2 linked regions of the Danio rerio genome follow. The protein of the gene in region 1 purifies or fractionates together with the protein of each later gene. This does not show direct contact. Links are inferred from orthologs where the notes say so. Each region holds a gene or a part of one and is shown on either strand. Other genes may lie near its edges.

Region 1 (5,884 bases):
ATTTGCTTTACAAGACTTGTATTTAAGATTTTCCAAAGAACCACACTTTCAGCTAAAGGTCTTCTTTAATGTTCGACTGAAGAACAAGTCACCTACATCTTGAATGAACTGTGAGAGGAGAAATAGCTGTATAGTAGCAGAGCATTACTCACAGTGCAGCGTGGACAGAGCCATTCTCCATTGGGGATTTCGGGCAGTGGAGGATTCAGGCAGTGAATGTGATAAGATGACGGACAGGAGTCACAACACAACAGCTCTCCTCCGTCTTTACACACTCGACAGAACTCCATGTGGTCATCCTCCTCTTCCTCTCCACCAAGCCCTGACTCCACATCCCGCACATCGTCACACTCCTCTTCAAATTCCTCAAAGTCTTCTTCTTTTGCTTCCCACTGGATCCCTTCTTTCTCCTGAAAATACACACTGTCATTACCCAGAATCTAGAACAGCTCAATATGAAGATCCTAAACAAAGATGACCTGCTTTTTGATGACCTCCTCATATAAAAAATGTGGGGGAAGCATTATCTTTTTTAAGGCCAGTATCTTTTTTTAATTTAATGTTGGTGTTTTATTTCATCATTTAAACAGCTTAATAATGTCATATTATTTGATCTGTGATGGGTGAGGGTCCGCCATATTTGCTTTACCTGTAGAGGAGCAAGTCATGCAAGTGACTGTTTAACTAGGAGAAGAATAGGGTAAACCCAAACTTTGTGAATCTGATGTGAATAAAAGTTTTATGGTTTGCTATGGTACTTATGTGTATTAAGATGTCTAAAACCTAAAATAAACTAACACTGATAAATTGTGATTTGACTAGCGTCATGCACATCTTTTCTCTGGCTCAGTGTGAGTCCTCATGGGAAAGCAGATTTGTATTTAGCAGCTGATGTACTGACAGTTCTAAACATAGCAGTGTGATCGCAGCTCCAGAGACCAGCCAAGACTGATCACACCCGTGTGATTGTATGCATCAAAGAGTTATTTTTCTTATAATATATACTGCAAAATCACCTCTTTTCACACAGTGTCTAAAATGGTTCATTTAAAGATCTATTCTCTCTAAGGGTGCTTTCACACTTGGTCCGAATGCATGGTCTGTCAACCCCACCCCAGTTATTAAAACCAAAATATGCAAAAGTATTACAATTATATTTTTAAAAAATCAAATAAAAAAATAAAAATTTAAATTAAAAAAAATGTAAAATTCGCAAAAGGATTAAGAATGTTAAGAACATCACACATTGTCTTTATAAGTCGTTTTTAGAGGAGACAAGCAGACATCATAACGGTTTGCACTAGTTCAGTCCCGCTTGTCACCAAGGTAGGTGATACAGACATGAAAACTAAAGTTTGTTGTACAGTTGGCGGTTCACTTCTATTATTTGGTAGGATTGCATTCATATCAGAAGTGAACTGTACTAGAGTTCCCACAAACCGTACCCCAGACCACCCCTTCAGGTGGACTTGAGTACGGTTTACGGGTGCACATCTGAGTTTAGGAGACAACGTTCACACTAGCTAAACGTACCATACGCCAAACGATCACGGTTGTGGACCTAAATCGCACTTCAGCGTTTATTTGAAAGTAGGGTTGTAACAATATACCGGTATGACGGTCTACCACGATTTGAACGTGCACGATTATCATACCATGAACAATTGCATATCAACGGTTTTAACCCTTAAAGACCGAGACAGCCGCCCGCGGCTAAAAATAAGTATTGCTCTTAAATGTTTAATAACTTTTGATCCGCTGATCCGATTCATACAATTCAAAGATTGGCATAAAGAAGAGAATCTCAGCTTTCCAGTGCTGTATCACATAACATTCACGGACATTCAGAGGCTCCGGAATCAGTGCGGTTACGTCATCAAAATTTGACAACGCTGATTTGACAAAGAAACGCTCGTCACTGTGTCTCCGGACAAACCAGACATGATACATTGATGCATTGTCCCTCCTTCATGCCCAGATTGGTTCAAACTCGCTATATCACAACCAATAAGCATAGGTTTCACTTTTGTTTGTGGACCAACACTGAGCTTTTTGAACAACACGGAATGAGAGATAGGCATACATTTCTGCGCGGCTAAATAAAACGCAAAAAAAAAAAAAAAGTTTTGCATGAAATAATTCTCATACCAAGTACTTTTGCATGCACAGCAGCACAGAAACATGACAAAACAGTGACACAGCAAAGACGAACTGCTGCTCTTGCTGTTTTCAAAAGACACAAATGAAGGTGCAGCTGTTTGTCTGCATTGCATACAACCATATCCAAATCCATATCCACAGACAACCATATCCATGCTGGCACATAAAACCTAAGGATGTTCCATATTGAATCTAGTTTCGTTATGTAACTATTTATAGTATAGTAAATATTTATATCTATTTTTTACTGAGGATTTGCACCATGTTTATTTGGACTTTGACACACTATTTATTATTTTCTTATTTTTTTATTTGTTCATTGTACAAGTGGACACATTCTCTCACCTCTGCGGTCAAGATTAAGTCCTGAAAATCTCAACATGCTTACATTTCTTCATCACAACCTAGACTGAAAAAAACAACGCTTTAAATACATGTTTACAGCCATAAACTTGGTATTGCACTTTTGGTCTCCCATTTATCCTGCTTATAAGGAAGGACAGTTTAAGTTTATTTTTGTCTAATCTTAAAAGACCTTGCTTGTTTATTCCTTCTAATTTAATTTATTAAAATGGGAGATTTTTCAGTTTATTTTTATAAAAGACTTCTATAGTTCTATTAAAATGGTTCTTTCAAAAGTTTGTTGAAATAAAACCTTTGTTCAGTCAGAAAACGTGTTCTTATTCTTTTCAGGGTCTTTGCTATGAGAATTACTATTTAATACCGTATACCGCGAAACCGTCAAACCGTGGTATTGTTTTAGACGATTATCATACCGTGAAAAATTCATACCGTTACAACCCTATTTGAAAGCGCACAAGAAGATCTGCGCTTGAGCAGCATATATTTGAGGGAGCGTGCAAGAAGTTTTGTGCACAGGCAGAGGAAATCTGAGCCCAAGCAAAGCGATCTCGACTTAATACTGCACTCACAACATTTGTCATTGAAATAACACCATAGGTAGATCTGTGTAAAAAAGGCCTGCCGCCACAGCTTGAAAAAATCTTAGAGAAAACACTGAAATACCAATACTATGTTAAAATACAATTATAGGGGTTCATGCATAATTGCGCCAATCAGTCTTTGCAAGAATCATTCAACAGTCTAAACCAGCAGATCTAGAGCAGCGATGGCTATCACAAGTGGTCATGAGACACTATTTCTTGCTTGAATTTACTAAAAGTAAAGTAAAATTAGACGCATAGTTTGAATAGTTTGAGCTACAGTAACCAGAAATAATCAGAGGTTAATGTGTGCCAAAATACTTTAAATATCCCACAAAACACTGAAAACTTAAATATGACTTATTCATAAATTTGATGTCATTTAAATAAATAAATTGGATACACTGAAAAACTTACCAAAAGAGTCGACCCCCCCTGATCATCAATGTATAATTTGCACCCTGGTTATAAACCAAATGAGCATAACCATATCTACATTTCACAGCAGAGACACTTCTATACACATTAATACAAACAGCAATTATAGCATCAGTTTTACTGTTACTGTATCATTTCAAATCATTTTTAAAATGCATGCAAAGTGGATTTGATTCACAGAACAGAAAACATGTCTGTTGACACACTAAAAACCAAACTCTAATACTCAGCGACACCACAGTGTTTGGCGATGCTGTTTGTGGATAGTTGATAAGGCCTAAAGATTACTCATTTAAGTCCACAATCAGTTTTTTCTTATGGGAGAACATAACTCCAAGTTTGCTTTGATCTCTGAAGCTCCACAGACATTTTACAATGACAAACCATTATAATAACCATTACATAAAAGGTGACAGGACCACTTTGAAATCAATCTGTGACTCTGAAGGTTTGAGTGGAAGTGACTCACGCAGTGAGGGCAGCTCCACTTGCCCTCAGGTGCTTTCTCCAGCTCAGGTTCAAGGCACACCAGGTGATAAGCTCTGGGACAGGTATCACACAGAATGATCTCTCCTCCCTGCTGACACACCTCGCAGTAATCCTGATGGTCAGTCTCATAGCCATCGCCATCCTCATCGCCCAGCGCTGAGACAGAAAGATATGGAGAGAGATACAACATTAACTTTACCCCTCTGATGCATAATGTCTACTACTGTTTTAACCAATAAAATCATTTAAACCACCTAGGGTAATTATTATCTTCCTAAATTCTCTGGCAATGAACAAAAACCTCTATCACATTAATAATTTGATGTAAAAGAGAATTGTTTATTACACTTTGTGTCTGTGCACTCAAAAACCCATCTATCAGGAGTTTAGACGGACCTGCAGTGATAATAGCAACAAGCTAATTCTCACCCTTTTTCTTCTTCTTGGCAGGGCGACCCCTTTTATTCTTTTTGACCCGTCCTGAGCTGTCAGAGCGGACTGAAGAACTGTGAACGCTGGAGTTTTCCTGCTCAGAGTCGTCCTCATCCACCTCCTCACTCTGCATTTCAACCACACACACATACACGATCAAAAACACTGCACGCAACACACATTATTGTGCAAGCGGGTTATACACAGACACTCACTGAACTGCTCTTCTTCCTCTTGTTACCAATCGCTCCCAGTTTAATGCGCAGGGGAGCCATTTTCTTGGGTTTTGGCTTCTTCTTGTCGGAGACACGAGGGCTCTTACTTCGTTTCTTGTAGCCAGGGCCTGTCAATAAACAATAAATTGTCAATGTTGGTATTCTAATATAAGTATTCTGTCTAGATTAATAAAAATAATCATGCATCATTTTTAAATGCTAGAAGATATTTCAGATGTCAGAACATTTTAATAAACAAAACAAATATTTTAAAAATTGCTTAAAATTACATTATGTGTAATAGTAATTAATTGGCACTCATTCTAACGTTTTGAGATTTTGGGCTGTTATGTTTACAAATTTTGTCTTCATTTAAATTAGTGAAAATAAATGTAAAAAATGAAGGTGACTTTTTTATTTTTTAATTAATTAAAAAATGTATATATATATATATATATATATATATATATATATATATATATATATATATATATATATATATATATAGTTACAATACTTGCCTGTATGTGTTTTTTAAATTACAGTTCAAGAGCCAGAAACTTTTGACTTATATTTGAATCACCAAGTACCACAGTTTGAGCTAAAAATCCTAATTATTATTGTGAATGACCTAAATGTGTTTAATTGTACTGTAATTGTACCTTAATTGTACTGTGATCAGCTGAGGAAAGCATGATGACATTCGCTAGGTAATTTTCCCAATTAAGTTATATGCTATTCATTTCAATTCAATTCTCTAGATTCAATTGTTAACAAGCTTTGTATTTATATAAAATAGCGACTAATAAATCTGGCCACCTTTGCCCTCTTTGGTCTTGGCCTTGCGTAGTGGAGGTGGTTGAGGTGGAGGTTCGGGCGAGGCTGTTGCTGCGGAGACCTGCTCGGCAACGGCTGCAGCCGCAGCGGCAGCAGCTGCAGCGACGGCTGCTGCCGAACCCTTGAATGGATTATTGGAGCTGAACTCCCGCCATTTGGCCCCAAGAATGGTCATCATCTTGGACATGGGGATTTTAGGGTTCTTCTTAGCAATCATGGGCCTGCAGAAAACAATATGTTGACATACATCCAAAACACACAAGCAATCAATTTAATCAATTTTGGTCTGCAGATTTTAATGACACTAAATAAATGAAAAGGCCATTCCTTCAAAATGTGTTATTTTCTTAAGTTTTAAATCTTTAATTT
Region 2 (6,365 bases), on another chromosome or scaffold:
ACACACACACACTGCTGAGGGAACACCCGAACATTCAGCGCGTGTCTTCAGGATGAACGCATTTGAGGGCTGATATGACCCGGATCTGCTTTACTGTGGAGGATCAGCGGAGGAGGATCGTGTCTGACCTGAGGGCCGCAATAGTGTACACAGACAGCAGCAGGGTCCATCAGGCTGTTAACTAGAAGATCTCATGTTTTAATTCCACATCAGACAGGAAGAGCTCCATCATGTGTGATTAATCTGCATTATATTATTATAATATGCTCTTTAACTGTATTAAACGAGCGTCTAATAACTAAAACCACCTTAATTAAATCAAAATGACCCCTGATTAATTAAGAGACTGAGTCGAAAAGAAAATGAAGCATAAATACAGCTCTGCTGAACGCTGCACTCTGATTGGCTGCTGCTCACGCTCGGGTGTTTGGTTATTGTCAGATAAAGGCACAGCTAAAGTAGTTCCGGCAGGTTTAGAGCGCGTATCACTCCGCTGAATGATGAGAGTTATTACAGCTACATCAGTCAGAATCACAGCAGCAGCAGCAGCAGATGTGGAGGACACGAGTGCTACAGTGTGGGAACTGCAGTCTGAGCAGAGTAATGAACATTCCACTTCACATTATTGCCTAATAACCCAATAGCTCATCATCAACTCTAGCAGTGTTTCTCAACCATGTTCCTGGAGGAGCAGCAGGTCTGCACATTAGCCAGGTCTCCTTCACCAAACACACCTGATTTAGCTCATTAGCAGACGGTGACCTGTAATGAGTCTCACACACAAAGAAGACATCCGAAACATGCAGTGCTGGTGCTCCTCCAGGAGCATGGTTGAGAAACACTGGTTTACAGCATGTCAAGATGAGAACGAGTCATTCTGAGCAGTGCTCACTGAAGTCCATCAGCGAGTATTAATAAACATGTTCAGTTAATGAGGGAAAGCTTGAGTTCTGATCATGAACACTCGTGTTAAAGAAACTACAGCAGCCGTCTCAAACTCAAACAAGCTCTGCATAGTTCATCTCCAACCACCTCCATCTCCACCACACAGCTGCTTAACAGTCTCTAGTAGTGTTGAACATCTCGATTGGTTGACCAGCTTTAGGAGTGGGGAAAACTGCAGGAATCCAGTTTAAGAGCCATGAGCTAAAGGGTCAGTTCCCCCACACATGACAATAGCGTCTTCATTTACTCACCCTTTAACTCTCACACCACCTTTATTTCTTCTGCTGAACACCAAATACGATGTTTTGAAGAACGCTGGAAAAGGGTAACCATTGACTTCTACTGTATTTGTTTCACACTATTGAAGTCAATGGTTACAGGCTTGTAACATTTTTAAAGAGACAGTACACTCAAAAATCAATATTTACTCACTTTTGACTCTGACTATTCTGTTTGAAGATGTTAAAAAAAAAAAATGTTGAAAACCGGTAACCATTGACTGCCATAATAGAAAAGCAGACACTATGGTAGTCAATGGTTACAGGTTTCCAGCATTCTTCAAAATATCATCTTCAGTGTTTGACAGAGAAGTGAAGCCTATAACAGTTTAACACACTCTCGGGTGAGTGCATTGTCAGTTATGGATGAACTGTCCCTTTAAAATTCTTCAAATACGCCAGAATTGTTTTTTCACCCTCTAAATATGAAATACGTGATTTATAGACGCATAAACTCCTCCACGTGACGACATCGTGTCTTACAACTTTTTACCTTGCCACAGCCGCATCAGTGTCTGGATGGAAAAGGTTTCAGTAATTTAGGGCGGGGCTAGAAATAATTTAAAGTTGAACTGTCTGTGTTCAAGGAAAAGCTATGAGTAATTTAGGGCGGGGCAATCATTAATTTAGGGTGGAGCTATCAGTAACTTAGGGTGAGGCTATCATTAATTTAGGGCGGAGCAATCATTAATGTAGGGTGGAGCTATCAGTAAATTAGGGTGAGGCTATCATTAATTTAGGGCGGGGCAATCATTAATTTAGGGTGGAGCTATCAGTAACTTAGGGTGAGGCCATCATTAATTTAGGGCGGAGCAATCATTAATTTAGGGACGGAGCTATCAACAATTTAGGGCGGGGCTATCATTAATTTAGAGTGGAGCTATCAGTAATTTAGGGCGGGGCTATTATTAATTTAGGGCAGGGCAATCATCAATTTAGGGTTGAGCTATCAGTAATTTAAGGCGGGACAATCATTAATTTAGGGTGGGGCTATCAGCAATTTAGCGAGGGGCTATCATTCATTTAGGGTGGGGCTATCAGTAATTAATGGTGAGGCAATCAATAATTTAGGGCGGGACAATAATTAATTTAGGGTGGGGCTATTAGTAATTCAGGGTGGAGCTATCAGTGATTTAGGTTGAGGCTATCATTAATTTAGGGCGGAGCAATCATTAATTTAGGGTGGAGCTATCAGTAATTTACGGTGGGCTATCAGTAGTTTAGGGTGGGGCTATCAGTAATTTAGGGAGGGGCTATCAGTAATTTAGGGAGGGGCTATCAGTAATTTAGGGAGGGGCTATCAGTAGTTTAGGGTGGGGCTATCAGTAATTTAGGGAGGGGCTATCAGTAATTTAGGGAGGGGCTATCAGTAGTTTAGGGTGGGGCTATCAGTAATTTAGGGAGGGGCTATCAGTAATTTAGAGAGGGGCTATCAGTAATTTAGGGAGGAGCTATCAGTAATTTAGGGTGGGGCTATCAGTAATTTAGAGAGGGGCTATCAGTAATTTAGGGTGGGGCTATCAGTAATTTAGGGCGGAGCTTTCAGTAATTTAGGGTGGGGCTATCAGTAATTTAGGGCTGAGCTATCAGTAATTTAGGGTGGGGCTATCAGTAATTTAGGGCGGGGCTATCAGTAATTTAGGGAGGGGCTATCAGTAGTTTAGGGTGGGGCTATCAGTAATTTAGGGAGGGGCTATCAGTAATTTAGAGAGGGGCTATCAGTAATTTAGGGAGGGGCTATCAGTAATTTAGGGAGGGGCTATCAGTAATTTAGGGAGGGGCTATCAGTAATTTAGAGAGGGGCTATCAGTAGTTTAGAGAGGGGCTATCAGTAATTTAGGGAGGGGCTATCAGTAATTTAGGGAGGGGCTATCAGTAATTTAGGGTGGGGCTATCAGTAATTTAGGGCAGAGCTTTCAGTAATTTAGGGTGGGGCTATCAGTAATTTAGGGCAGAGCTTTCAGTAATTTAGGGTGGGGCTATCAGTGGTTTTCAGTCTTACAGATGAGACCTAAAACAAAGCTCCTGACTATCTGTGCTCATTAATAACCTCAGGGCACTTCTGGTAAAGAGTAGGGGTGTAACCTCGGTGTCCTGGCCAAACTCCCTCCATCAGCTCCATCCACTGAACTGGCTCCATCACTGTCTCTCCACTCCACCTCTAGCTGGTGTGTGGTGAAGCACTGGCGCTGTTGTCCTGCACACTGGTGGTGTTGTCGTCATGTGTATGAACTGTATAAATGCACATGATTCACTTACTCTCACTTATAACTGCAGATGAACTGCAGAATGTAAAGGTGAGCAGGCGTGCCGTCTCCTCTCCTCCACTGAGCTGAACACAACAGAGGAGCACATCACATGAACCACAGCCGTCAAATCGAGGTAATCCACAAGATTTATTGGTCAAATGCAAGAGGTAGAGGTCTTGCAGTCAGTTATATTCTCTGTACATCAGATCCGTCAGTAGTGCAACTCGTGCAGAGATGAAGGACACGCAGAGCAGAAGAACATCACATGTCAGATATACACGGAGAGAGAAGAGTCCAACATGTACAGCAGACGAGCTCCGGGAGCCGCTCCTCCACACAACAACACAAAAACAAGAACCATTAAAAAGCAAGAGTTGGAGAGGCTCCAGCCGGCCCGCCACACGCTCTCAGACGGCCAGGAGACAGAGCCACGTCCTGAAGCGGAGCTGATCCATGCAGAGCGTCTGTCCGCATGCTGGAGGAGAAGCAGACCCCGGGGGACTGTGGGAAACCCTGAGCGCAGTCGGTCTGTCCTGTGTGTGTGTGTGTGTTACGTGAGAGGTGTGTGTGTGAGGCTCTGCGGGTGCAGCTGCTGCCATAAATGTTGCTGCTGCACCGCCAGCTGCTGACTCTGATCTGATGATGACAGGATGTTGACCAGCGGAGACACACAGTTCTGCGGGATGATCAGACCTGAGGAAAACACACACACACACACACACACACACACACACACACACACACACACACACACACACACACACACACACACACACACACACACACACACACACACACACACACACACACACACACACACACACGGAGGAGGAGTGAGGCTCTGGCTGTGTCCCGAATCACACACTTCTGCACTGTATAGCATGTTAACAGCGTCTCTGCAGATATCATGATGTCAAATTTAAGACCTTTTACGATCTTTTTAAGACCATTAAGTATTAAATTTAAGACCTATATCGCAATATCAAGAACACACGACAGAAAATGTAGAAGCACAAAATTAGGGGTAAAATAAAGTTATTTAGATTGAACAGTAGTAAAGTCAGGTTAAATGCACCAGTGAACTACAGAAAAACAAACATCTAAATGCAGATTTATACTTTCACCTGGCGCCGCACAACTCACAAAACAGATTAAGACTTTTATACTCGACACGTTCACCATTGAGATATATTTTTGACAGGGGGCACTCCAAAACAACAGACAGTAAAATCAGACGAGTAAAAAGATCATCATCATCATCACTGAAGATGTTTTTGAAGGCCTCTTTTTTGTTTTAACAAACTCATCCCTCAGAGTTTTCCCAAAGTTTTACAAAAGCTTTCCTCCTTTCCCATGGCTGTTGCAGTTTCTAGCCAATAATTATTGGTCAATCTGGCAAGCAGAAGTGTAGCTGTGATAGAAAATAGGTAAAGACTTGATTATGTATTATAGCCTACTGTACTGTTCACTCTTCAAATAAATCCCACTATCAGTCCCATTTTATCACTGAAATAAAGTGCACACGTGTCTGCTGTACAGTGTTGTGTGAAGTACAGTAAAGTGCTTCAGTTACTCTGTTGTGGTAATACTACAGTTGCTATGGTAAGTGTATAATAAACTCCCCAGTGCTTAAGTTTTTTACAATATATTGTATATTATTCTACAATTCACCACACTTTACTGTAGTAAAACTGCACTGTATTTCATTTATCAGTTCACTATTCTTAACACTACAGTACGCTGAAGCATCTCTGGAAAAGCACGAGAGGAGTGCGACCGAGCGAGAGCAGATCATTCGCACGTGAGCAGCCGGTGTTTTGAGAGCTCGCGAGCAGTTTTGTCTATGAAGGAAACCGGTGCGTGAGCAGAGATTCGCTCTCTCGTATTACAGCGCTCCCGACTTATAAAACTGCACTTGCGACATTTGTCAGTGAAATAACGGCACACTCTGCCAGCCGAAATCATCACGCACACTCAAAGCGAACTACCGCAAACACAGCGATGACGTCACATTCACCGCGCGCACTGAGTTTAATAACAGAAAGCTGATTGGCTATTGCAAGCTGACTTTTTTGTAGTTGTAATACCGCAAATTACAATTGGACTAGTGAAATACAGAAGAACTACAACACCCCAAAAACCAAGCAACAATAACAAGAATTTAAATGAGCATTAGATGTAGCGGTACATGGACATCACAAAAATAAGACCAGTGCAGAAATATTTAAGACCCAGAACAGCGAATTTAACACTTTTTAAAGCCCTTAATTTCGATTTTTTAATTTAAGACTTTAACACTTTTTAAGACCCCGCGGGGACCCTGGTTTAATACAGTATCTGTGTGAGTGGTGTGTCTGAAGTCCGGGTTTAGTAGAAACACTATGCTGCATAATAAAGGACTCGCAGTGAATATACAGAGCATCCTGAGAGAACTGACAGCGCTTCACTCTCCACATGTGTATGATACAGCTTTATTACTAAACGCATTAAATTAATTGATTTCCTCAACATTCTACACACAATCCCCCATCATGACCATGTCAAGAAAGAGTTTTAGAAATTGTTGCAGATTTATTAAAAACAAAAAGCTGATAAATCAGGTGTACATCAGTGTTCACAGCCTTTGGGTGTAAAGCTCCAAGTTGAGTTTAGTCATTCTGTCTCCACTGGTCATTCCTGAGATGTCTCAGCAGCTTCATTGGAGTTCAGCTGTGCTCAATTCAGCTGATGGACATGATCTGATCAGGCTACACCTGTCTATATAAGAGCCCAGGGTTGACAGAGCATGTCAAAGCACAAACCAAGCATGAAGACAAAGGAATTGTCTGTAGACCTCCGAGACAGGATTGTCTGGAGGCACAAAGCTGGGGAAGGTGACAGAAACATTTCTGCT

Evidence for each region. The genes of interacting proteins can lie anywhere in the genome.
Region 2: the proteins of chd3 (region 1) and cdk2ap1 purify together in Homo sapiens (affinity purification with mass spectrometry; 6 studies listed by BioGRID and IntAct, with this or other methods). This does not show direct contact. The link is inferred for Danio rerio from reciprocal best matches to the Homo sapiens genes CHD3 and CDK2AP1.

The regions. Positions count from the first base shown.
Region 1 is NC_133182.1:20,733,889-20,739,772, forward strand, and holds part of chd3 (chromodomain-helicase-DNA-binding protein 3), read right to left. Parts: intron 5,737-5,884; coding exon 5,498-5,736; intron 4,807-5,497; coding exon 4,679-4,806; intron 4,591-4,678; coding exon 4,461-4,590; intron 4,188-4,460; coding exon 4,012-4,187; intron 411-4,011; coding exon 153-410; intron 1-152.
Region 2 is NC_133185.1:50,698,542-50,704,906, reverse strand, and holds the start of cdk2ap1 (cyclin-dependent kinase 2-associated protein 1), read right to left. Parts: upstream 3,986-6,365; 5' UTR 3,309-3,985; intron 1-3,308. Other genes in the region: sbno1 (protein strawberry notch homolog 1), read right to left, coding at 4,023-4,165. UniProt on the Homo sapiens protein: Inhibitor of cyclin-dependent kinase CDK2. Also acts as a component of the histone deacetylase NuRD complex which participates in the remodeling of chromatin.